Nothobranchius furzeri: one gene and its partner. The protein of the gene in region 1 binds, or shares a complex with, the protein of each later gene. Links are inferred from orthologs where the notes say so. Each region holds a gene or a part of one and is shown in the gene's direction. Other genes may lie near its edges.

Evidence for each region.
Region 2: the proteins of abl1 (region 1) and sh3bp1 are in contact, whole or in part, in a crystal structure (PDB 1ABO), measured with the Mus musculus proteins. The link is inferred for Nothobranchius furzeri from reciprocal best matches to the Homo sapiens genes ABL1 and SH3BP1. Residues at the interface, in NP_033724.2 of Mus musculus: Tyr70, Phe72, Ser75, Gly76, Asp77, Thr79, Asn94, Glu98, Trp99, Trp110, Pro112, Asn114, Tyr115; in NP_001303613.1 of Mus musculus: Ala607, Pro608, Thr609, Met610, Pro611, Pro612, Pro613, Leu614, Pro615, Pro616.

The regions. Positions count from the first base shown.
Region 1 is NC_091746.1:53,699,720-53,712,124, forward strand, and holds the end of abl1 (tyrosine-protein kinase ABL1), read left to right. Parts: intron 1-824; coding exon 825-989; intron 990-2,105; coding exon 2,106-2,401; intron 2,402-3,784; coding exon 3,785-4,057; intron 4,058-4,197; coding exon 4,198-4,282; intron 4,283-4,427; coding exon 4,428-4,605; intron 4,606-5,796; coding exon 5,797-5,981; intron 5,982-6,061; coding exon 6,062-6,214; intron 6,215-6,286; coding exon 6,287-6,376; intron 6,377-6,495; coding exon 6,496-6,624; intron 6,625-7,737; coding exon 7,738-9,350; 3' UTR 9,351-9,786; downstream 9,787-12,405. UniProt on the Homo sapiens protein: Non-receptor tyrosine-protein kinase that plays a role in many key processes linked to cell growth and survival such as cytoskeleton remodeling in response to extracellular stimuli, cell motility and adhesion, receptor endocytosis, autophagy, DNA damage response and apoptosis.
Region 2 is NC_091756.1:27,535,446-27,547,850, reverse strand, and holds part of sh3bp1 (SH3 domain-binding protein 1), read left to right. Parts: intron 1-3,485; coding exon 3,486-3,531; intron 3,532-6,613; coding exon 6,614-6,718; intron 6,719-6,792; coding exon 6,793-6,869; intron 6,870-6,962; coding exon 6,963-7,074; intron 7,075-7,727; coding exon 7,728-7,804; intron 7,805-7,888; coding exon 7,889-7,976; intron 7,977-8,071; coding exon 8,072-8,140; intron 8,141-8,214; coding exon 8,215-8,305; intron 8,306-8,366; coding exon 8,367-8,503; intron 8,504-8,581; coding exon 8,582-8,693; intron 8,694-8,933; coding exon 8,934-9,015; intron 9,016-9,118; coding exon 9,119-9,199; intron 9,200-12,405. UniProt on the Homo sapiens protein: GTPase activating protein (GAP) which specifically converts GTP-bound Rho-type GTPases including RAC1 and CDC42 in their inactive GDP-bound form.

The DNA.
Region 1 (12,405 bases):
ACACACACACACACACACACACACACACACACACACATTATAGTTATCCAACAATTATACAATTTTCTAGGATTAAGTTCACGTTTTATGAGCTTTGTGGCTATTAAATTCAACCTTGACATTTAAAATGAAAATTTTCTGTTTCACATCTAACTGCAAATTTAAAACCAAATGCAGGTAAGCCTGGTGTTAAAAATATTTGAGCTGTGCTGGGGGTATTAAATGTCAGACGTGTATCAACATTGGTAACCAACCAGCTAAACTTGTGTTCACCACAAACAGTCTTTGTGATCTTGCTTTCAAATGCCATATTCCTTTACTCTTATTTTCTCACATACCTTATTTTATCCATCACTTATACTGCTCTAAAATTGCTATAATTCATATAGTCTGTCATTAACATAACTAGAGCTCTTTGAACTTGGGTTGTCTTGCTGTGAGGTTTATGCATTACAATTTACAGACACCATGAAAGTTACAGGTTGAGTTGGATGCTCGTGGTTTTGATGTGGGATAGTCATCTACATTCAAGTTTCAGAGAAAATTAAAAGGTAAGTAAGGATAATCCAGGAAGTGAAAAGTTGCTGATTCATGAGGGACAGTGGAGGTCGTAAGATCGGGTTCATTACTTCTACCCCTTTGTGGGATCACAGGTGACTTACTTGTGAGCAGGTGGAGCAATTCTACAAAATTCTTGCTGAATTGTTGAGTTTTTATAAATCTGTGTTGGGGAAAAAGGGGCATCACAGGCTTGTATCACATTCACCTACATATCTTGTGTTTGTCACTCTTCTGATGGGCTTTTATCTTTGTGTTTTTCTTAGAAGCTCTCCAAAGGCCAGACTTTGAGAGTCAGGGTCTGTCAGAAGCAGCCCGCTGGAACTCCAAAGAGAACCTGTTGGCAGGACCCAGCGAGAATGACCCCAACCTTTTTGTTGCACTCTACGATTTTGTTGCAAGCGGTGACAACACACTGAGCATCACTAAAGGTAACGGCTTATTTGGGGTGTGTTCAGCAAGAAGGTTTTGTAACCAGGCATGAATCAGGGTAATCGCGGGGTCTTGCAAAGTCTTTAAAAGCCTTAAATCGAATTAAAGACCCGTAAATTTTCCTAAATCATCTTAGATCATCTTTCTTAAATACCGGTAGTTTTAAATTTGGTTAGTATTGACGTGGATTAAATACATTTGTCTCATACTTGCAAACAAGCCAGACTAATTATGTGAGTATAAACTTTGCGAAGCAAGAATTTGGTCTAGTTCGCTAGGCTAGAATATGGTCCCTGTAGAAGCCAAATATGACATTTGTCACCTTTTTCACACCTTCAGAGTTTGCAGGTATGAAAAATAAATGCAAGTAAACTAATAAAATAAGATTATTTTTTGTTCTCCTATGCCGGCTGTTTGCTTGCGTTTTCGTACCACGCAACTTTTCGTACCACTGCTACAGCCTTGCCTTCCTGGACGTGGCATATCCCGCCACCTGTTGAAGCGGAAAACGAAGCAATGCAGTATTTTGTGCAGTACTTGAAAGGATCTTAAATTAAATTTTTAGATCCCTGCTTATACCTATGTAATTAACTAGTAGAATATTTCTAGTCACCTTAAACGCATAGTCAGCACAAACTATTTACAGCAAACCTTTCCTTTTTTTTTTTTTTTTCCAAAATGTCCAACCTTAGGAGTGTCCTTTGATTGGAAGGGACACAGATAGTGAATAAATGTCCCTTTAGGGAGATTTTCCCACTGGGAATCTCCTTGTTTGTGCCCCCTCTTTTTCCCGCTCCCATCTGATTCCCACTTCCTGACAAAGCTCTGACTCATGGGTCTTTTTCCACCGAAGCAACTGTAAAACAATACTGCAGATGGATCACCCAGACAAATGGAGGAAGGAAGGAGGGAACATAGTCGTTAAAGTAAACAATAAAACGTCTAGCATCGGATCACTCCGCATGTTGATAAAATTAAGACTTGTTTTTCTTAGGATATATTTTGCTAGATAACAGATCTTATAACTATTAGGTTTACTTCATGACTTTTTTCCATTATCTAAAAATAATTAGTGTTTGAGATTTCAGGCTAATTTTGACTCCTTTTTGTTTTAGGAGAGAAGTTACGCGTTCTGTGTTACAACCCCAACCGTGAGTGGTGCGAGGCCCAGACCAAGAATGGCCAGGGATGGGTGCCGTCCAACTACATCACTCCGGTCAACAGCTTGGAGAAGCACAGCTGGTACCACGGACCCGTGTCGCGCAACGCCGCAGAGTACCTGCTCAGCTCCGGCATCAACGGAAGCTTTCTGGTCCGAGAGAGCGAGAGCAGCCCCGGACAGAGGTCCATTTCTCTGCGTTATGAGGGGAGAGTGTACCATTACAGGATCAACACTGCATCAGACGGCAAGGTTGGCCATATCAGAAACTTGGAGTATATATTTCAAACATGCCTTCTCTCAAGTTACAGATGATCATAAATGCATTTTATTTCATCTTTCAACCTTATAGCAGAGCCTTCAGCTCACATCTCTTTTTACTGTCATACCGGTTTGATACATTTTCAGTTCAGGTGTGGAGTCTAAAGAGAATAATAGGGGAAATGTTTGTGTTGGCTAGTGTTGACAATAGTGCTGCCAGTCTTTATGTGCTGACTTAAGTGTTACAAAAAATAAGGATTAAACATCCTGTTTGTACCCTTCGCTGCTGCTCTAAACGCTGTAAAACATTCTGCAAAGAGCTTGTAACATAGTGTGAAAGGCACAAATTTTACTGTTGAAACCAAACAAAAAAGTCACTCAAAAGCTTCTCAATTCTTGTTTTTAACCCTTTAAATGAGTTTTATGGATGAATGCATTTTGACATTAGTTGAAACAAAGCTGTAGCACACTAGTATCGTTCCTTTCATATTGGTCTATGAAAATCCCACAACACTATTTGACAGCTGTATTGCTGTGCTCAGATAAGTTCAGGAGTTCAGGTTAGGTTGAGATTAGAGCTTAGTCCTTGTTGTGGGACTGCCTTTTGCTTGTGCCACCCTTCTGTGTGTGATGAAACGAGGTGAGCTAGCTTCAGGAACTTTAGCTATGACAAAAATGTCTTTGACCACCACTGTGCTTCTGGTAACAAGCAGCGAACAGGAGGCCTGACCCAGATATTCACACCCATGCTGAGAAAGGCTTAGTGCAGACAGATGTAGCCAAGTATGTCTGCTCGCACATGAAAAAGCAAATGCACAAACACAGACACATGGATATTTCTCCTCTCGCATCGTTTTCCACTCACTCAGTGGCAGGATAACCGATGGTTCCAGTATATCAAGACTGCATATCATTTGTCCAATTAGTTCTATTTTTACGCTTGTGCACATCTTTTAAGGGTTTTTAAGAGTATTCTTTACCTCTGTCTTCTGTGTCCCCCTAGTCTTGCACAATGCAAGCTAATAAAATGCAAAGTAATTCACACGGAACATACTGGCGGAAACCATTTTTAGTATTATGTAAGACTTGAATAATGGAAAAGTCTGTGTCCACTGAGCCCTGACCAATATCCTTCTGTCCACCAGCTTCCTGACAAATGCCGTGCAAGCTTGGAATTGGCCAAGAGCACAACTTTTCCAGTTATAACTGTTTCCAGATTATACCATTTCATTTTGTTTTCAGACCAGACTTTCTAGCACTAGAACGCAGTTAAAAAGTCTTTTTCTTAAATAATAAAGTAAATTTAGATTGTGTTAGTGCTGAAATAATGTTTCTAATATATTTGATTGACTGTAAAAACTCTTCTCCCATCAGCTGTATGTCTCATCAGAGAGCCGTTTCAACACATTAGCAGAGCTGGTGCACCACCACTCCACCGTGCAGGATGGACTCATCACCACTCTGCATTACCCAGCAGCAAAACGCAACAAGCCCACCATCTATGGAGTTTCTCCCAACTATGACAAGTGGGAGATGGAGCGCACTGACATCACCATGAAGCACAAACTGGGAGGGGGCCAGTATGGGGAGGTCTACGAAGGTGTCTGGAAGAAATACAACCTCACTGTGGCTGTCAAGACACTTAAGGTATGAACAAAGGACGGGAGTTAATGTAGCTGTGCCCGGTGGAAACATTGTGAATCTGACTAAATAATGCTGCCATCTGCTGCAACAAAGAAGCAACTGCACCCAGTTTACAGTTTTTTTTCTTTTGGTCAAATCTGCAGGAAGACACAATGGAGGTGGAGGAGTTTCTCAAAGAGGCTGCTGTTATGAAAGAAATCAAACACCCTAACCTTGTGCAGCTGTTGGGTATGTTCTAAATACATGTGCATATGAAAAATTCTCCAAATGTCTCACTAGATTCATTCAACACGGCTGTAACCTTTCATGAAATCTGATTAAGGAGGCATCAAAGTCTAACTTTGTTTTCGTTTTTTATACACGTTGCTGGCAGGTGTGTGCACACGAGAGCCGCCGTTCTACATTATTACAGAGTTCATGACCCACGGAAACCTGCTGGACTACCTAAGAGAGTGCAACAGAGAAGAGGTCAATGCCGTGGTGCTGCTGTACATGGCCACTCAGATCTCTTCTGCCATGGAGTACCTGGAGAAGAAAAACTTCATACACAGGTGGCTAAATTCAATTATAGAACAACTGAAGGGTCATTGATGCTGCAACATCCGTGTGTAGATGGTATTTCACATATCTTTATCCTACTAATGGCAGTGAGTTACCATTACCGTTACCTACAGTGTCAGTGTGTTACATAGAGTCCTATTAAAGGGATACTAAGCAGTTTTGCTTGCTTTTAGCACCCCCTTGTGTCAGTTTACTCTCCTCCTCGCTTTGCGTTCATCTTTTTAACACTTCAATCTACCAGCTGAAACGTCTGCCAGCGGTCCTAAGTGTCTACAGGAGTGATTCATCACTAAATTAAACAAATCAGCTGGGTTCATGATCTAAAACATGCAGGAAACATGATGGAAGCAGACTGCTGCGTCAGGTACCTCAGCTCATTTTTTTCTAAAGTCTAATTCATACTTCTGCATCAGCTCCACAAGGGAGAGACACGCACGCACAGACGGAGACTGTTTGCTTTCATACTTTCCGTTTGCTGGGAAGTGTCACAAAGCAATTCCCCGCCAAGACAACAGAGGGCGTAGCGCTGTTCTGGGGTATCCTTGTGTTAGTTTTATTTCATACTTTTACACGGGCAAATTTGTCCGTCGTTCTCCTCCACCTCTTCATGCACTCACCACCTCTAAACCCATGTTTCCCGTCATTTCCGTCCACAAATTAAACACTTGCTGCGCATCTTTTCACTCCTCCAGTCACGGGGGAATAAAACGTTCATATTTTTAGAGTTTTTCCACAAAGTCTTCTTCAAGCTTCTCTGTGTCTGCCGCTCGATATCCTCGGCTCTCTTTGTTTTTGAGGGCGCAGTGGTGGGGTTGTAGACGACAGCAGCGTCCTAACCAATCACAAGCTTGCGTTCTCCGTCTCGTCGAACAGATGTTTAGAAAAAAGCTCAACTCCGCCTGTCCTTACGAGGGATCTCCAGCAGGCTTGCGAGGATGGATAATGACGTTGCGTGTCTCCGTCCCGGCGCAGACGAAGTCTAAATTAGACTTTAGTCCCAGCAGACCGGACCAGCAGCTGTGATGTTGCAAGTACAATATTCTGGCCACAGGGGGCAATAGGGGCTGGGTGGCCTTTCATTAATCCTGTAAAGGGTCATTTTAGCACATACTGGCAGAGGAAAATGATTTAAAAATATGAAAAAGTTGCAAATTGTCCCTTTAACTAGTCTTTATCCTCAGGGACTTGGCTGCCCGCAACTGTTTGGTGGGTGAAAACCACCTGGTGAAGGTTGCAGACTTTGGTCTGAGTCGCCTAATGACTGGAGATACGTACACCGCTCATGCTGGTGCCAAGTTCCCCATCAAGTGGACTGCTCCAGAGAGTTTGGCCTACAACACATTCTCTAATAAATCTGATGTTTGGGGTAGGTTTTCTTATTTTTTTATTCCCCTATTACATTATCTAACTCTTCCTGTAAACTCTTTATTTTTGTCTCTTGATTAGCATTTGGTGTGCTGCTGTGGGAGATTGCCACCTACGGCATGTCTCCTTACCCTGGCATAGACCTGTCACAAGTCTATGAGCTGCTGCAAAGAGACTACCGCATGGAACGACCTGAAGGCTGTCCAGAGAAGGTCTACGAGCTCATGACAGCTTGTGAGTACAAAAATCCAGCCATTTTCTTTTCTTCAGGACATGTTTTGATGCATATTCCACTTTTCCTGTCAGGTTGGAGGTGGAACCCTGTGGAACGGCCAACTTTTGCTGAAACACACCAAGCCTTTGAGACCATGTTCCAGGAATCCAGCATCTCTGATGGTCAGTGCTGCTTCTTATCATCAGAAAAACAATTAGTGTTGAATTATAGATATCCTAATTAAAAGAAACGAATCACAGTGGTATTTGAAAATGTTAACACATGATCTGTGTAATTACAGAGGTTGAGAAGGAGCTGGGGAAAAAGGGGAAGAAGACAACATTAGGCTCCACCCAGCAGGCTCCAGAGCTGCCCACCAAGACCAGACCTTTCCGCAGAAACACGGAAAACAGGGACAGAGACAGTCCAGGTGGGATGCACGTCACGTTCTCTGGTTGCTTGTCTTCTTTATGGTTGATTTATCTTTTTAGTTCTGGTTGGGCTTCAAGGTGTTGGACTTATTTCCACTTTCGGAACTTCTGGGTAATTTTTTACCAGACCTTCACAGTTTTTTTGCGTTGCTCCATTTTACTGGGCCGAGCCGAAAGGACTGCTTTCTAAGCCATTCAGTGGGAAATAATTCTATCGGTAGACGTCACCAAACAGCTGGTATTTAGAAATTGGAAGGGTTTCTGGTGAAGCAGAATGGAAGAAAAAGAAAATAAGCCGCGTTGGTACTGCTTTAAAGTTGCTGTTTCTAGAGTCCCAATGCCAACAAGTCTGGCAACAGTTCCTCCACAACGCACCACTTTCTGCTGCTGTATGGTCTTTAGTAAGAGCACAATAAAAACTAGTGTTTCTTCTGTTTATTGATTGCAGCTTTTCATGTCAAACAAGAGCTCTCTGCCATCCCTAAACCAGTCGTTCCCAACCTGCGGTCCATGACTCCCCAAGGGGTTCCCCACAATTTTGTATGTGCTGCAGTTATGAGATTACCAGGATTATAGTTGTAAAAACTACATTTATAAAATCCAGATAACACACCCAATAGAGGCACCACTCTGTATATATTTGTAATTATTCACTTTAATTGTGTGCATGCACGTAGGAGTAAGGGTTGGGGGGCCCTGGCTTGTCTTGGACACAGGAAAGGGTGTTCTCGTGAAAAAAGGTTAGGAACCATTGCCCTGAACGATGTGACCTACGTACTTTGACAAAATCAAACTCCTTTAATGTTATAAATGTCTGTGGACGCCTTTTGCATCTAATCAGTGACGTCCCTCACCGCCAAAGCAGTTGTGTTATACTGATGTAATAGCTAAGTCCTAAAAGGGCTGGGAGGACCAGACCGAGCCATCATATTTTCCCTCTCTCAGAAATTTTGTACAATTTTTATAGTGGAGTTGTGGCTATAGAAGTGGTTTCAAATGTTTCATTTTCAAATGTCACATAAATTTTAGTAGTTTTCATTATTTTATGTATTTTTTATTGGATAACTTTTTCCTGTTTTTCTCACCTGCGACGTGTCTGTGGTGTTCCTCAGACCCAGTGGATCCGGAGGTGGCTGTTTCCTCACCAATGCTTCATAGGAAAGAGCACTCCATGCTGGACAACAACTTGAATGAAGACGACCGCTTGATGCCCAGAGACAAGACACGTGTCAGTAATTTCCTCAGCCTCATCAAGAAAAAGAAAAAGAGTGCACCAACTCCACCTGTACGCAGCTCCTCCTTCAGAGACGACTTCCACACCGACAGGAGAGTTGTGACTCCTGATCCTCAAGACAATGACAATTTCAACAACGGTGCATCTTTGTCACTTAATGACACATCCCCTAGCACTGAATCTTCAAAGTTTTTGGTTGCTATCAATAATGGTGCAGGAGGTAATGCTAACTACCCAGGAACTTCGTACTCCAGAAAGAAGGCAGCTTCTACAGCACCTGGTCCTGGGAGCAAGATGGCCATGACACCACCTAGTGAAGAGGAGTCCGTTTCTAATTCAAACCGGTTCCTCTTGCCTTCCAACATGTCCAATGGTCGAGGTGGTACTGAGTGGAAATCAGTCACTTTGCCACGAGATCTGGGCCAGCGCCACTTTCAGTCAGGCACTCTTGGAGGTAAACCAGCTCTCCCGGTAAAGAGGACCAATGAGCAGAAAGGAGAGAACACCCGGCGAATGGGCACCCTGACTCCTCCACCACGTCTGAACACTTCCTCAGAGGCCTCTTCTTCTCTCCTTGGAAAAGACACAGAACCCTGTTCTGGTCCCAGTTTCCAGGCATTGACACCAAAGGTGGTAAAGAGACCCGGTGTGCCCGGGCAGGAGAACTCCAGGATCGGTGCTGAAGTGTTACTCACTTTAGGAGGAGTTGAAGAGTGCAAAGCCCGCAGAGGCAAGCACATGGTAGAGTCCTCGTCTGTCAGGGGAAGAGGGAAGTTCCAGAAACCCAAACCAGCCCCACCTCCACCTCCCACTGGTGCCAAAACCAGTAAGATCGCCCGTAGCCCCACTCAAGAACTCCCCTCACCTTCGTCTTCCCCTTCGTCTTCCCCCTCAGACATCAAAATCAAGTACCTTCCTTCCATTTCAGATTCCCACCACACAGTTGCTGCTAGTGACCAAGCACGCTCGCCCACCAGTGAGGGATCCAAAAAGGCGCCCCTGAGCTCTACCTATAAACCGCTCAAACCCTCCACTTCATTGACCCTTTCTCCCTCCAGCTTGAGCCAGGGAGGCTTCTCTCTCACCCCCAACACCGATCAGAACTCAACCGCATTTGCTCGACGCTCTCTCCGCAAGACAGCGCCCCGCCAATCCTCCGAGCGCACACCAAACTCAGCCGTGACGCGTGACATGTTGCTGGATGGGGCAGAGCAGCTTTTCCTCGCCATCTCCCGCATGGAGGATCAAACTGGGAGCCACAGCGCCGTGCTGGAGACCGGCAAGAACCTGTCGAAGTACTGCACGAGCTATGTTGACTCCATTCAACATATGAGGAACAAGTTTGCTTTTCGAGAGGCCAACAACAAGCTTGAGACCAGCTTGCGTGAGCTTCAAATCTGCCCCTCTGCCACGGGGGGCTCTAGTGCTCAGCAGGACTTCAAAAAGCTGCTGTCCTCGATTAAGGAGATCACGGACATAGTTCAGAGGTAGCACCTTAAACGTCCAATGATCGAGACTATATGAACTTAAATTCCATTACTCCTTCTGTGTTGTGGCCAGTGAGGGGTGTGATGCATTTGAGAACAGCGCTGTAGGTTCGTTACAGTTGACTATTAATCCTGTGGTTACAATGAACTGAGTCAGCTGAAAATGTATGTGGATCTTTTTAGACAGTTGTATCTTTGAATGCACATCACGTAGGCCTTAATGAGGCTGGGGCCAATTCTCCATGTCACCAATCATCTTCCAATTGATGTCTTATGTATTCTATTTGATTTAACCCCTCCCACAAATCAGTACGATCATGAAAATGTCTGCTTTCATTCGTTTTTGTTGAGCTTCGACAATTACTATAAACACTTAACCTCATCGATGCATTTTAAGTTGTATTTTCGTATTGGGTTGTATGCGGATGAGATTGTGCAAGTGTGTTTTTAAGAGTGTTGGCAACCACGTGCCATAAAGTAATGGGAGCATTGGCTTAAGGTAGTTTTGAGCCTCCAGCCTTCCTTCACTATGTTGCTTTCCTGCACACTTGGGTAACAAACGGTGCCTGTAACACTACCAGCAGGCCTGCTTCAGCCTTCACACGTTCAGGTGCAAATATAAAGCTTTGGCATGCTTGAGAGTGGCTTTTGGTTCACGGAACGTAAATGTTTGCAATTCCACTAGAGAAAAAAAACAGCACGCCTCTTGGCTGTACCGACTGGCACAGGTGCATGATCTGCAATTTGGTGATCTGTTGAACCCTTTTCTTAGACTGGATCTTATTTTTTAATATATGCAAATGTTTGACGATACAGATTTCTCTCAAATAAAAGCCATCGGTAGCATAGCGTTGGATCGGGGCAACAAGGTCAACAGGCTGTTTTCCTGATAGGGTTTTATCAAAAATAAAGGCCTACAGTATGTAAAGACCTTCCACCCCAGAAATAAAGAAGTCCTGGGGGAAACACTGGACTGAAAATGTACTCATCTTTTTATTTTCCTTCATTTGCATCTCTTGAACATTTTCAGTATTTGTTCTGTAGTGGTTGTATTATTTTGTGCCCCGCCTGACTGCGAAGCCTGAGGACAAATGTTTCTGTTACCTGCGTTGACTTTTGGTACGGTCATGGTTGCCTTTTATTCCCCTCTATAAAAAAACCCGTACATACCACTAAGTTTTGTAAACAAATTGCCTTCTTTTGTAAATGTTTCTTTTCTAACCTGGGTGCAATTTTTGTTGCAATAAAATACAAAGCCATTGTGCGACTTGAAATACAAATTAGAATCTTAATGTTATTTCCTGCCACCACATTTTCTTTCATAAAGTCAAACACACACACACAGATTCAGGTTATGTATAATTTATTTTTTTCTGACTAGAGTATTTTATCATTAAAATCAAAATGTCAACATTTTAAAATCATATACACGTAAGAACGCATTTAAATGTTAGCGCAGCTCCTTAAAAATGTATACATATTTACGTATTTTCACTCAAAATTGTACTGAAGAGGAACACAGAGGGAAGCTCAGCCGTCCCACAAAAACAAATACCCCCCCCCCCCCCAAAGTTAAGATTGCAATGACGGCTCCTCCCGAACAGGTGAACCATGGTTGGGTGGAAAAAGAAAAATATAAACATGAATGTGCTCTGTTCTTCACTCTTTACGGAAATAAGATGAGACAAAATTTGCAGACGTAAGTACTGGCTTGCATGACATCATCTCATTCCACCTCCTTGCCCCTTGACAAGCAAGTTCAGTAGTGTGCAGACAAGGTGGTTGGGGGAGTGAGGGCTTTCTATGTGTCTGTCCTTTACAATTATTAGAAACTATGTTACACAATTTTCCAAGCATGAATTACAGGCAACCCACAAGCACACAAACTGTACAAGATCTCAGCAGAGCCACCAAATAAGTTTTAAACCGGAAGTACAGTAACGAGGTCGTCACCAGCAGGAAAGCAATATATACAGCAGTCGGGAGGGTGGCCGCTGTTACAGAAAAGTCGTACTTGAAAGGAAATTCAAAGATTTTGATTAGCACAACTTCATGTTTCTAAGATGAGGGACATACTGCTTTGCGTCACAAGGCAGAGCAACAATGATCCAAATGAACAACCATCAGCTCTTCAGTGCAGCTTCGTTAAGATAGGAGCTAGATGCGTTTTGTTTTTTAACACCTAATCATGCCGAGTACACTTCGTCATTTCAGATTTTTTTATAAATAACATTAACCCTCAGGAGGCAGGCGTTGCAGATTTGCAAGTTAAAACCTACCTACCTGGTTACTCCACATACGTATCTCATGAGCATTTTTTAACCCAGAAGTACCCCTGAAGGACTTTGTTGTTCGTCCTTTTATCAAAACTTATTTTGAACCTGAGAGGGTTAAGAGCAACTTTTTATCCAATTAGGGTAATCTCAACAACAGTGAAGAGCAAGTACATCAAAACAAAGACTAATGTATTCATAATAAGGCAACAAACGATGACAGAGATGCTGGTACAAACATGTTGATATGATCGGGGGTGGGGTGATCCATGCAGAAGAGCTGGTGCTAAGCACACAGATGCAAATGAAACCAGATTTCATTTTCGTTAAAGTGACATTTTAACTGTCTAAATAACCATTCATCCATCCATCTTTGTAACACACAGACCAAAACTCCAACGCCTCAGCAGGGACTCAGGAATCACCCAGGCGGTGTTTAACGAGTCATTCCTAACATCTGGATGGGATTACCTGAGTTCATCACTTCTCACAAAGGATATTTACTTTTGTGCCAAGCAGCAAAAAACAGAATTAAAAGCCACTAGCAGGTTCAGATCCTGCTGGAAAAAAGAGCTCACTACTACATTCTTGGACACACGGTGAAGAGCCTGAACCCGCGTGGCTGTGTGTCACGTCATTACCTTCTGCCCTCACACACAATATCTCATCTGCATTTCTTCCTAAAACGATGGAATCATGATAGAGAGGAGTTTGGGATTATAATTTAGATTTATACAAAAAAAGGACATGTGGTGGATGAAACTTGATGCAGTATTTACATTTCAT
Region 2 (12,405 bases), on another chromosome or scaffold:
TGAGAACAAACAGGAAGATTCAGAGGTGGACAGATGCCCTTTGATCTGTTTGTCTTTCAGTTTGTTGACAGAGACAGAGATAAGGAAAGTTTGTGGTAAAAAGTTCTCAGAATTTACGTCTACATAAAAAAAAGGCTATTAAATACAAAGAACAAAAAGGTACACACACACACACACGTGCACACACACATCTAGTTCATTTACAAAACATTTTCGATCGAAATCACCAAATTTTATTTTGAAAATTTCCAAAAATGGAATTGCATTTTGTTTTACAAATGAGCTCATGTCTACATAAACAGCCAGTTCTCATTATGTACAGAAGCCTATTAGGGCCACTAGTCAGAATGTCACTACAACAGCTGAAATCCTATTTCCAGAAAAATGTCTAAAGTAAGCTGTTTGAAGATTTGTGAAGGAAGCAATGTTTATTGTGTTCCTGAACCCTCCAAAAAGCTTATTAGTATTGTTTTATAATAAAACTCCACTAGTTTATATTGTGTTTGAGACTCTTATTGTGAAGGATTTAAGGAAGTTGTGCTGAAGATGCTGCTACAAGAGCACATATAGGGACTAGCTCCATTCAATAGGCGGCCCACTGGCCCATTGCCCAGATACCTCTTCGTAATTTTTTTATTTAATTGCTGCAACTTAATTGTAAGTGTGATCGTTAACGTTTTGCAATATTTTAAGGCAAGTATTTATTTGCCATTTATGCTGCTAGTGGAAAGTTTACAACAGCAGTTTCTTGGGAAAACAAGTCACAAAAGAGAGGAGACATATGGTTGACAGTGAAAATAAAAAAATTAAGTGACATCTGGACTGTTAAGTCCAAAAAGCTGAGGGAAACCCATATGCCTTGTCCATCGTGTCATTTGCTCAGTAGATGGAGAATACAATTTACGGAGGCTTTTCTAGACAACTCACCAACAGACTCAGCGAATCAACAAACAAAAATAAAGAAACTGACTCTAAACTATCAGCAAAGTTGTGTGATTTTCACTTGGAACCCTACATTAACATCTCTGAATTGTGTGCATACTGACTAAAAAGAAAAGACAATGGCACAATACAAGAGATGGATGAGCAGCCCACTGGCAAAAGTATGGGGAGAACAAAAGATACACACACACACACAAATCTAGATACACACAGATCTTTTTTCTCTGCATACAAAAGCCTTATGACGATTTGCCCCAACAAAAAGATCAAATTGAATATCCCTGCTTTAGATTTTAGAAATAGTTTTCTTTTTCATAATATTGTTGTTTTTTTACAATTTCCTCTGTACTTTCGTTTCTTTTCTTTCCTTTCCAGCTATTATGTTTTGATTTTTACCAGACATTTAAATTGCAGTTGTATTTCATCACTTCCTCTTATTTATTTCCTCCTCTCAGTGGCTCTGAACTATACTGAACATTGTGCATTATCACTAACTTTGTGGACTCTTCACAGCTTTACATTTTACGCTGTTTTTACACTGTTAGTACAAATGCCATGTCAGAGTGTTTCTGCTGCGTCTTTGGAAGCGTTGACATTTGATGTGCAGAGTTATCTGGGGTTGAAACATACCAATTCAGTTGACTTTTAATGAATTTGTAATTGAATTTGGTGTTTTTAATAATGTCATCATAGTGTGAAAACTTTAACTAAAAAAGCTTGAAAGAGTCACATCAGTCACTCGCATAAATGTATTAAAAAAGCAGCAAAATTATTTTTAAGAAGATGAAATCTGCTTTATGTCAAATTTTATTATAGTTATTCATTTTTCTGTGGGACGTATTTGCACCAAAAAAGAGTGATTAACAGGTTTGACTAAAATTTAATATAATTTTTGCTAAAGTAACAATGTATGGGTGAGTTTCACTAAAATATTGGGTTAGTGCTGGCGGGCTGTGTTGTCAGAATTCAACTCTGTTCCTTTAATCTGAAGTTTCTGAAGCTGCTTCTTACATATTTTCCAAACTTTTGACTGAAACCCACCCCAGGTGGTAAATATGTATAAACTGGATTAGCTAACAGCAGTGGTGGCGCCGGCAGGGGGGGTGGGGGGGGGGGCTATAGCTACCCCTGAATTAGTCATTACACCCCATAACACCCCCAAGTAAATATTAGATTTTTTTTTTTACAATTTAATTTTAATTTAACGTGTGGGTGTGATAATATTTAACGTACAAAACAAAAATAATCAGTAAATTATCTTATAGATAGTAAAAACTTAAACCAAAACAGGAAATTGATGTTAACCTTTGACCTCATTTTCCACCTGCGAGTGAAAGGTAGAGCTAGTGGTAAAATGGATCAGTTTTTGTTGCCCAAATCAGTGGCGGCTCCAGAATTTTTTTTCTGCAGGTGCTAGGAAGGAGCTAGTCTTTTTATTGAGGGTGCTATGAAGGAAGTGGTCATGCGTACCCATTGTACTCTAAAACACTTTCAACACTAGCAGATACACATGCGTGCACAAAACCTCAACAACACCTGAAACAATCATTAATATACATCATAAACATATGAACAATCGCTGACTTTTCCATGAAGTCATAAACGCATACAGCCACACAGAAAACCATCTATAGTGTTGCAAGGTTAGCTAATGTTAGCGTTAGCATTTCCAGCGGCAAAACCCTCGACTACTGCAGCGGTTGAGGGTCGACTCTCTTCATCCAGATCCGTAGGTTTTTGTGGGTCTGAGATCACTTCCAAACATTCATTCGTTTCTGACTGAACCCGTGGAAACGTGGGCAACAAAAACTGATCCATTTTACCACTAGCTTTACCTTTCACTCGTTCGCAGGTGGAAAATGAGGTCAAAGGTTAACATCAATTTCCTGTTGTGGTTTAAGTTTTTACTATCTATATGATAATTTACTGATTATTTTTGTTTTGTATGTTAAATATTATCACATCCAAACGTTAAATTAAAATTAGTTTGTAAAAACAAAGAAAAATCTAATACTTACTTGGGGGTGCTATGGGGGTGCAATGGCTAATCCAGGGGTAGCTATAGCGCCCCCTAGCACCCCCCTGGCTCCGCCACTGGCCCAAATTTCCACAGGTTCAGTCAGAAACGAATGAATGTTTGGAAGTGATCTCAGACCCACAAAAACCTACGAATCTGGATGAAGAGGGTCGACCCTCAACCACCGCAGCAGTCGAGGGTTTTGCCGCTGGTAATGCTAACACTAACGTTAGCTAACCTTGCAACACTATAGATGGTTTTCTGTGTGGCTGTATGTGTTTATGATTTCATGGAAAAGTCAGCGATTGTTCACATGTTTATGATGTATATTAATGATTGTTTCAGGTGTTGTTGAGGTGTTGTGCACGCATATGTATCTGCTAGTGTTGAAGGTGTTTTAGAGAACAATAGGTACGCATGACCACTTCCTTCATAGCACCCTCAATAAAAAGACTAGCTCCTTCATAGCACCCGCAGAAAAAAGTTTCTGGAGCCGCCACTGGCTAACAAACATGTTGCTTTACAGCAGGTCACAAGATGCCACAGACCTTCTACACGAAGACCTTGTTGTGGTGAGCCTTTTACCTATTTTCTGACATCATGATTGATTTCAAACACCTTAAAGAGACAATGTGAAGTTTTTGCCATTATTCTCTGGAAACATCCATCAAAACTCTATTGGCGGAACTATTGGCAACTCTGTAACATAACCGTTAAAATCAGGTCTAATGCACATGAGTGCTGGTCTGAGTTTCTGGTTAGACCTATGGGTTAGACGCTACGTTTCCTTCTACAGGAGCTTGTGAGGACAAAACGCATTTTCTGATCCCCTTGCACCTACAGGAAGTTTAAATGAAGAGCTCTATGAACACAGTGAGCACCTGCAGCTAGGTGTACAGTGATCCCTCGCTACTTCGCGGTTCGTTTATCGCGGATTCACAACTTCGCAGATTTTTTCTTTGGAGCCTTATTCAAGGGAAATTCGCAGATTTGCGGTATTTTTCACCGATTCGCGGTATTTTTCTATGCGAAATATCAAGAAATTCCTGTTTTTTTTCATCAATTTCATCATAAAATGCACTTTTTGTAATAAAATTATAAAAAATCCAAGTAAAAGATTTTTTTCTTGAGTTTTACCCACAAAAAGAGAATGTGATCATACGATAATTCAATATAGTACTGTACTGTAAATATGGTGTCCCTACTTCACGGATTTTCACCTATCGCGGCCAGGTCTGGAACGCATCTACCGCGATAAACGAGGGATCACTGTAGCTACAGGAAAATCTTTGTTAACATCTTCGTGCACATGCACGAGTGGCTGTGTAGCAAAAACAAATATGGCCTGCTATTAATACACAACATACATTTTCACAAGAGTTTAGGGGCAAAATTACATCCACAGACCGGCGGAGGATTAGAAAGAAGCCTAAAATCTGTATTGATGACAAAATTGAAGTTTTTAAATGTTTGCTTGAGCTCTGGGGTGTGTTGTTTTCACAAATCTGCTGGGGAGACATTTATTCATTTTTAACAGAAAACTTTGGACCATTCACTCATTAAAATGAAAAGCGTTCAGAAGTCTGGAGGCCTACGATAATTTTTTTGAAGGAAACTTGGGCCGATCTTCTGCAAAACAGAAGCTTGTGGTCGTTCTAATAGTGGGAATCGGCCCCGAAGAGCAGAGTTGCAATGCAATTGCGGGTTGAAACACTTGAATCAGAACATAAAAACTGCATGAAAATGGATGTTTTTAAAACATCTTCTCTGATTAATAAATACTTAGTCACAAGGACTTGCCATGATCAAAATTAGCCTCACAAACTTTATTATATATATATATATATATATATATATATATATATATATATATCCATCCATTTTCATCCGCTTACCCGAAGTCGGGTCGCGGGGGCAGTAGCCTAAGTCGCGAGGCCCAGACTTCCCTCTCCCCAGCCACTTGGGCCAGCTCCTCCGGGGGAATCCCAAGGTGTTCCCTGGCCAGGTGAGAGACATAGTCCCTCCACCGTGTCCTGGGTCTACCTTTAGGTCTCCTCCCGGTTGGACGTGCCCAGAAAACCTCACCAGGGAGGCATCCAGGAGACATCCTGACCAGATGCCCGAGCCACCTCAACTGGCTCCTCTCGATGTGGAGGAGCAGCGGGTCTACTCCGAGCCCCTCCTGAATGACCGAGCTTCTCACCCTATCTCTAAGGGAGAACCCAGCCACTCTGCGGAGAAAACTCATTTCGGCCGCTTGTATCCGTGATCTCGTTCTTTCGGTCACTACCCAAAGCTCATGACCATAGGTGAGGGTAGGAACGTAGATCGACCGGTAAATCGAGAGCTTCGCCTTCTGACTCAGCTCTCTCTTCACCACGACAGACCGGTACAACGCCCGCATCACTGCAGATGCAGCACAAATCCACCTATCGATCTCATGCTCCAGCTTTCCCTCACTCGTGAACAAGACCCCAAGATACTTAAACTCCTCCACTTGGGGCAGGACCTCATCCCTGACCCAGAGAAGGCATTCTACCCTTTTCTGAATCAAAACCATGGTCTCAGATTTAGAGGAGTTGATTATCATCCCAGCTGCTTCACACTCGGCTGTGAACCACTCCAGCAAAAGCTGAAGATCACGTTCTGATGAAGCCAACAGGACCACATCATCTGCAAAAAGCAGAGACCTAATCCTCAGGCCACCAAAACGGATGCCCTCCACACCTTGGCTGCACCTAGAAATCCTGTCCATGAAGGTTATGAACAGAATCAGTGACAAAGGGCAGCCTTGGCGGAGTCCAACTCTCACTGGGAACGAGCCCGACTTACTGCCGTCAATGCGGACCAAGCTCTGACACCGGTCATGCAGGGACCTAACAGCCCATATCAGAGGGCCTGGTACACCATACTCCCGGAGTACCCCCCACAGGGCGCCCCGAGGGACGCGTTCAAATGACTTCTCCCAATCCACAAAACACATGGAGACTGGTTAGGCAAATTCTCACGCACCCTCCAGATCCCCCTAAGGGTATGGTAAATGGTAGATGGCCTGTATTTGATATAGTGCCTTCTAGAGTCCTGGAACCCCCCAAGGCGCTTTACAACACAATGAGTCATTCACCCATTCACACACACATTCACACACTGGTGGGGATGAGCTATGATGTAGCCACAGCTGCCCTGGGGCGCACTGACAGAGGCGAGGCTGCCGAGCACTGGCGCCACCGGTCCCTCCGACCACCACCAGCAGGCAACGTGTGTTAAGTGTCTTGCCCAAGGACACAACGACAGCAACAGACTGAGTGGGGCTCGAGCCTGCAACCTTCCGATTACGGGGCGAGCACTTAACTCCTGTGCCACCATCGCCCACTTATAGAGCTGGTCCAGTGTTCCACGGCCAGGACGAAAACCACATTGCTCCTCCTGAATCTGAGGCTCAACCATCCGATGGACCCTCCTCTCCAGAACCCTGAATAGACCCTGAATATATATGTACTATACACACACACACATATATATATATATATATATATATATATATATATATATATATATATATATATATACCAAAATACAATAAAATTACATTATAAAAACTGACCATAGTAATGTTTATCTGTATGTTTTTACCTTTTTACTGACTAATTGGAGGTGGAGCAGCGGGTGGAGCCGGCCAAGAAGGCAGCTCAGGTCCTCCATAAGAAGCTGCAAGGCTGCATGCAGAGTCAGCCGGGGCTGGAGGCTGAGAAAAGAATGGTACAAGGAAGCTATATCTGCAAGATGTTAGTAATTCTTTGTTATTATAAAAACAAAAATGTTCTTATGTGCAGAAAAAGCTTCCTCTGATGCTGCTGTCTATCAGCATGGCTGAAAGCCTCAAAGACTTTGATGCAGAGTCCTCAATCAGGTGACAGGTTTGATCTGCTGCTGTTATCCCTCCATCCATTTCCTCTCATTCTGCGGATCCCAGTGGTTTTACACCTGTGTGTCTGTGTTACAGGAGAGTCCTGGAGATGTGCTGCTTCATGGAGAAGATGCTAGCCAACATGCTGGCAGACTTTGAGATGAAGGTGGAGAAGGAAGTGGTGGAGCCACTCAATAAGCTCAGTGAGGTAGTGATGCTAGTGCTGCATGCTGCAGAGTCACCACAGATATCCCATAAACCACTGGACAGGTTTGAATGATACTCCAGGAGTCAACCCAATTCAAAATGGCAACCAGAGCTAATCAGCCTTAGTGAGCTTTGGATTCAGACTGGACCACCAGCACTTTGATTCTAGTTGTTCTGTTATAGATCTGCTGCTGTGTTTGGACCATTGTTCTGTTCTATGACCCAGTTTGGTCCAAACTTCAGCTTTCAGACTCACATTAGGCTCTAGAGAACTTTGATCTACAGAGGAGTTCCTGATGGACTCAGAGGCTGTAAGGAGCCCAAACCATCAGCTCTCCACCACCGTGCTGATAGCTGGGATCAGCTTGGTTCTGATAGGCTGTATTTAGTTTGCACCAAACATGACCCAGTGCATTATGGGTAAACATCTCTACCTTGGTTTAATCTGCCTGATGAACATCATTCCAGAAGTCTTCTAGTTCATTTAGATAAAACATTATAAACCAAAGGAGGTTTTTATCCCACAACCCTTCCAAACAAACCTTGCTTCAGTCAGTCCTAACATGACCTTTAACCTCTAGCCTGATGCCTGGAGGCTAAAGAACCTGAGATGAACTTCTCAGGTTTTAAGTCTAAAGTCAGTTTTCCTTTTAGGAGGATTTACCAGAGATTCTGAAGAACAAGAAGCAGTTTGCAAAGCTGACTACAGACTGGAACAATGCCAGAATCAGGTGAGTGGCCCACCCTCCGGAAAGAGCGTATGTTCATGAGCTACAATATCAAGTGTGTGTGTGTGTGTGTGTGTGTGTTTACAGGAGTCAGGCTAGCACTGGCCCACAGGCAAAGCAGGATGGGCTCAGGGAGGAATTGGAAGAAGCATGGAGGAGGTTAGAGAGTATCAAGGTATCAGAATTTCCTGTGATCACATGATCTGCTGCAGGTTTAATGAGAGTTTGTTGTCTTCCTGACCCCTCCTCACCTGTTCTCTGTCTCCATAGGACCAATACTCTGCTGACCTGTATCACTTTGCAACTAAAGAAAACGACTACGCTAACTATTTCATCCGTGTGAGTTGCAACAAGTGTGTCATAACCCAAATCTTCCGTTTGGTATTTTTTAACCATCACACTTGTTTTATCAGCTTCTTGAGCTGCAGGCAGAATACCACAAAAACTCTCACGATTTCCTGGACAAAACCATCAGCGAGCTCAAAGAGAACCACAGTCAGAATGGTGAGCATGCTTTGGGCCGGTGTTGATAAGCACGTGTTCATAAGTGTGTGTGATTCTGCAGAGCCAGCACTAAGCCTCTCCAACCAGAAGGTCTACGGGGAACCTCTACTCTCACATCTGTCTCAGAGCAGCAGAGAGATCGCTGCTCCCATCCAGGAGTGCATCCAGATGCTGCTGGAAACAGGAATGAGAGAAGAGGTAGAACTACTTCCTGTCTCCATGTTGCTGCTCAGGCACTCCCCATGGTTGTTCCTCTCAATGCTTGTCTCTCTGTAGGGTTTGTTTCGGCTTGCAGCAGCAGCCACCGTGGTGAAGAGGCTGAAGATCTGCTTGGATCAGGGAACGGTGGACCACAGCGAGTTCAGCATGGACCCTCACGCTGTCGCCGGTACAGATGCACACATCTGGCTTTGACTTGACTTTTCTCAGCCCAGAGCACGAGTTTCTGTCACGGGTGCTCTTCCTCGTCTGTCCGACCTTCGTGACTTTCACAGCTCGGTTTCCATTTTTGTAAAATGTGATTCAAATGTCAGCAGCAGATGGATTTTATAGTTCCAACATCACTTTATTAATCAAATGATAAAAAGTTATATTAATGTGAATATTTTTCTGAATTTTGTTGACACAGGAGCCCTGAAGTGTTATCTTCGAGAGCTTCCCGAACCCCTGATGACCTTTGAACTCTACAACGATTGGTTCAAAGCAGCAGGGTGTGTGTGTGTATGTGTGTGTGTGTGTGTGTGTGTGTGTGTGTGTGTGTGTGTGTGTTAGTGAGTCATTTCAGCTCTAGAGTGTGTGTTTCTGGTCTCACAGGGAAAAGGACCTGACAGAGAAGCTGGAGAAGTTCAGAGACTTACTACAGAAGCTGCCACCTGACAACTACAACAACCTCAGGTATCTGCTTTGTATCGTTGCACAAATAAGGAACCTTGTGAATAATTAGTATCTTACCTGAGGATTGCATCCAACTTAACTCCTTGTTTGTCTCTGAGCTCTGACATTTCAGAGAATGCTTTCCTGATGTTGACTCTGTCCGTCTGACATTTTTTTTAATCTATAGTTTTTTTAAGAGGCTCTGCCATGACGAACACAATACAATAAATGCTAACCATCTGTAGTGCGTCTGTTCTGAGGTGCAAACATGGATTGCCGTAAAGTGTGAGATACATCCAGAGAGGCTCAGGCTGTAAATTTGGTGTTCTGCTCACAAAGAGCAGAGGGGGCTGAGAGAATATTCATTCACCCTAGATAGGGTCATTCTAGAACCTACTGGCTTGAGAACATAATTTAAAATATAACAGAGTGCCTTTACCAACCTCAGTTTGTAAAAACAGAGATGAGTTCAGAAAAGACTGATGAGGTAACGGCTAGGACCAAAGTGTTGCTGCCACCTGAAAAAACAAGCAAGTCATAAAAACATTTTTAAAAATGTTGCTCCTCTGTCAATTTCTCATCAAATGATCATAAACATCCTATCAGAAGGACTAAAGTGCTGCAGCTAGCTGTTGCAGTTTGCGCTAAATAAACATCTATTTGTCACGCTGAGGAGTGGAGGAGTAGGACCCAAAATGCAGATACCCAGAACGACATGAGGCTGGAGTAGATGTCAATGAAAACTTTCCTTTATTAGGAAGTCGAAATAAAGTAAATAAAATCCAAGGAGGAAAAAATCTAATAAACCTGGAGACCTAAGAGGGGGGAGGACAAAACAACGCTGATACAAAACAATGGACCAACAGACGCAGACAGGGTTATATACACAAGGGCTGGGTGATTAGGGAATTGTGCACAGGTGAGACCAATAAACAGAGGAGGAGCACTACGGAGCAGGGGAGGAAACCAGACCTAAAAATGGGATAGGGAGCAAAATGAACTAGAGGGAGAAAACTGACTAGATAAAACACCTAACAGAAGACTAATGATAAAAGGTGTCTAAGGAAAAATGTAAGGGAAACCTAGAGAGCCTGGAGGGGGTTGGGGACACACAGGGACACTGAAACCTGGAGGGAACACCTAAGGGGAAAAAACCTGGAGTGGGCTGGGGAACACAAGGAGGCTCATGAGGAGCACAAGAAGACACATAAGGGAACCCTAGAGAAACCTAGAGAGGGATGGAGAACACAAGGAGACACATGAGGGAGACGCAGGACGCAGACCATGACACTATTCTCTTAAAGATGACTTAACTGATGAGTTTTAACCTCTTAGGTGTGTTCTTGCTGTGTCGTATCTCTAATTCCATGCTGTAGTTCTTTTGTTTTCCTCTTTTCCCGCTACGTTTTGTGTGCGGCTGCAAACTTCCTCAGGCTGACGCTGATAGTGGCGTCATGACAGCTTTATCCAAAAACGAACAGATAATTATTCTACCGGTAGACAAAGAAAGAACTACAGTAGTTATGGACAGAGAAAAAATAACCAACAGATGTTAGAAGACAAAAAAACATACAAAATACTTAAAAAAGACCCAACAGAAAACATTAAGAAAAACATGAAAAAATTACTGAAGCCACTACAAGAAAAAGGCAAAATAACAGAAAAAATGTACAAACACTGGATTCCTACAGCAAACATAACACCAAGAATATATGGAATGCCAAAAATACACAAACAAAACTCCCCACTTAGACCAATAGTTGACAGCATAGGTACACCAACATACAACATGGCAAGAGTAATCAGCAAAATCATCAGTCCGTTATTAGGAAATACAGATCAACACTGCAAAAACAGCATAGAGCTGGCAAAAGAACTAAAGGAGATTACAATAGAAGACAACGACATACTCATCTCACATGACGTCACATCCCTGTTCACAAAAACACCAACCCAAAAAACCATAGACATAGTAGTTAACAGAATGAGACAGGACAAGACTTTACACAAAAGAACAAACCTCACAGCAGATGACATAGCACAACTGATAGGACTGGTAGCTAACTCCACTTACTTCACATACGATGACGCAATATACAAACAACTGGAAGGCTTCGCCATGGGTAACCCGTTATCAGCCACCCTGTGCAAGTTTTTCATGGAAGACCTAGAACAAAAAGCCATAGCCACCGCCCCCCCAAACTGCAAAATGAAACTATGGAAACGCTACGTAGACGACATACTGGAAATCATACCAAAAGGACAAACAGAAACACTAACACAACACTTGAATAACATTGACGACACAGGCAACATAAAGTTCACTTATGAGTCAGAAACAGAAGGCAGCATAGCATTTATGGACATGAAAATCACCAGGCAGACCGATGGGACCCTAAACATAAACACATACAGGAAACCAACACACACAGACCAATATCTATTATGGACATCAGAACACCCCACCATACACAAAATGTCAGTAATCAGAACATTATATCACCGAGCAAACATGGTAACAGAAGAAAGAGACCGTAAACAAGAGAACAGACACATACAACACGCTTTAAAGACCCGACATGGGCAATAAACAAAAGAAAACAAACAACAACAGAAAGAAAAAAACAACCAAAGCAAAGAACCAGAAACCCAGAAAGACAAGAACCAAAACCAGTGATAACCCTACCATACATCAGAGGCATAACAGAAAACATAAACACACCAACAAAACCATACACAACAGTTAGAAACAGACTAGTGCACCCAAAAGACAAGATACCAGCTGGACACAAATGTGGAGTCATTTACAAAATCCCATGCAAACTCTGCAATAAGACATACATAGGAGAAACCGGACGCCAACTCAGCACACGAACAACAGAACATAGAAAGGAGTGCGAGAAAGAGGCAAATCGAAAACACACAAGAGCAGCAAAAGAAGAGGCAGAAAGCACAATAAAGAAATCAGCCGTAACAGATCACTGCACAAGAGAAAACCATATAATGGACTGGGACAACACAAGGATCATAAACACCGAACAACAGAAATACAAAAGATGGATAAAAGAAGCAATCGAGATAAGGAGACGTGGATGTGGGACCATGAACACAGACCATGGAGTTTACACGCTGGACCACGCATGGGACTGCATCGTCGGAGAGGAGAGAGTGGGCAGCAGAGGGCGACAACGTCCTCTGCTGCCCGCGGATAAGCGGAGAAGGAAGTG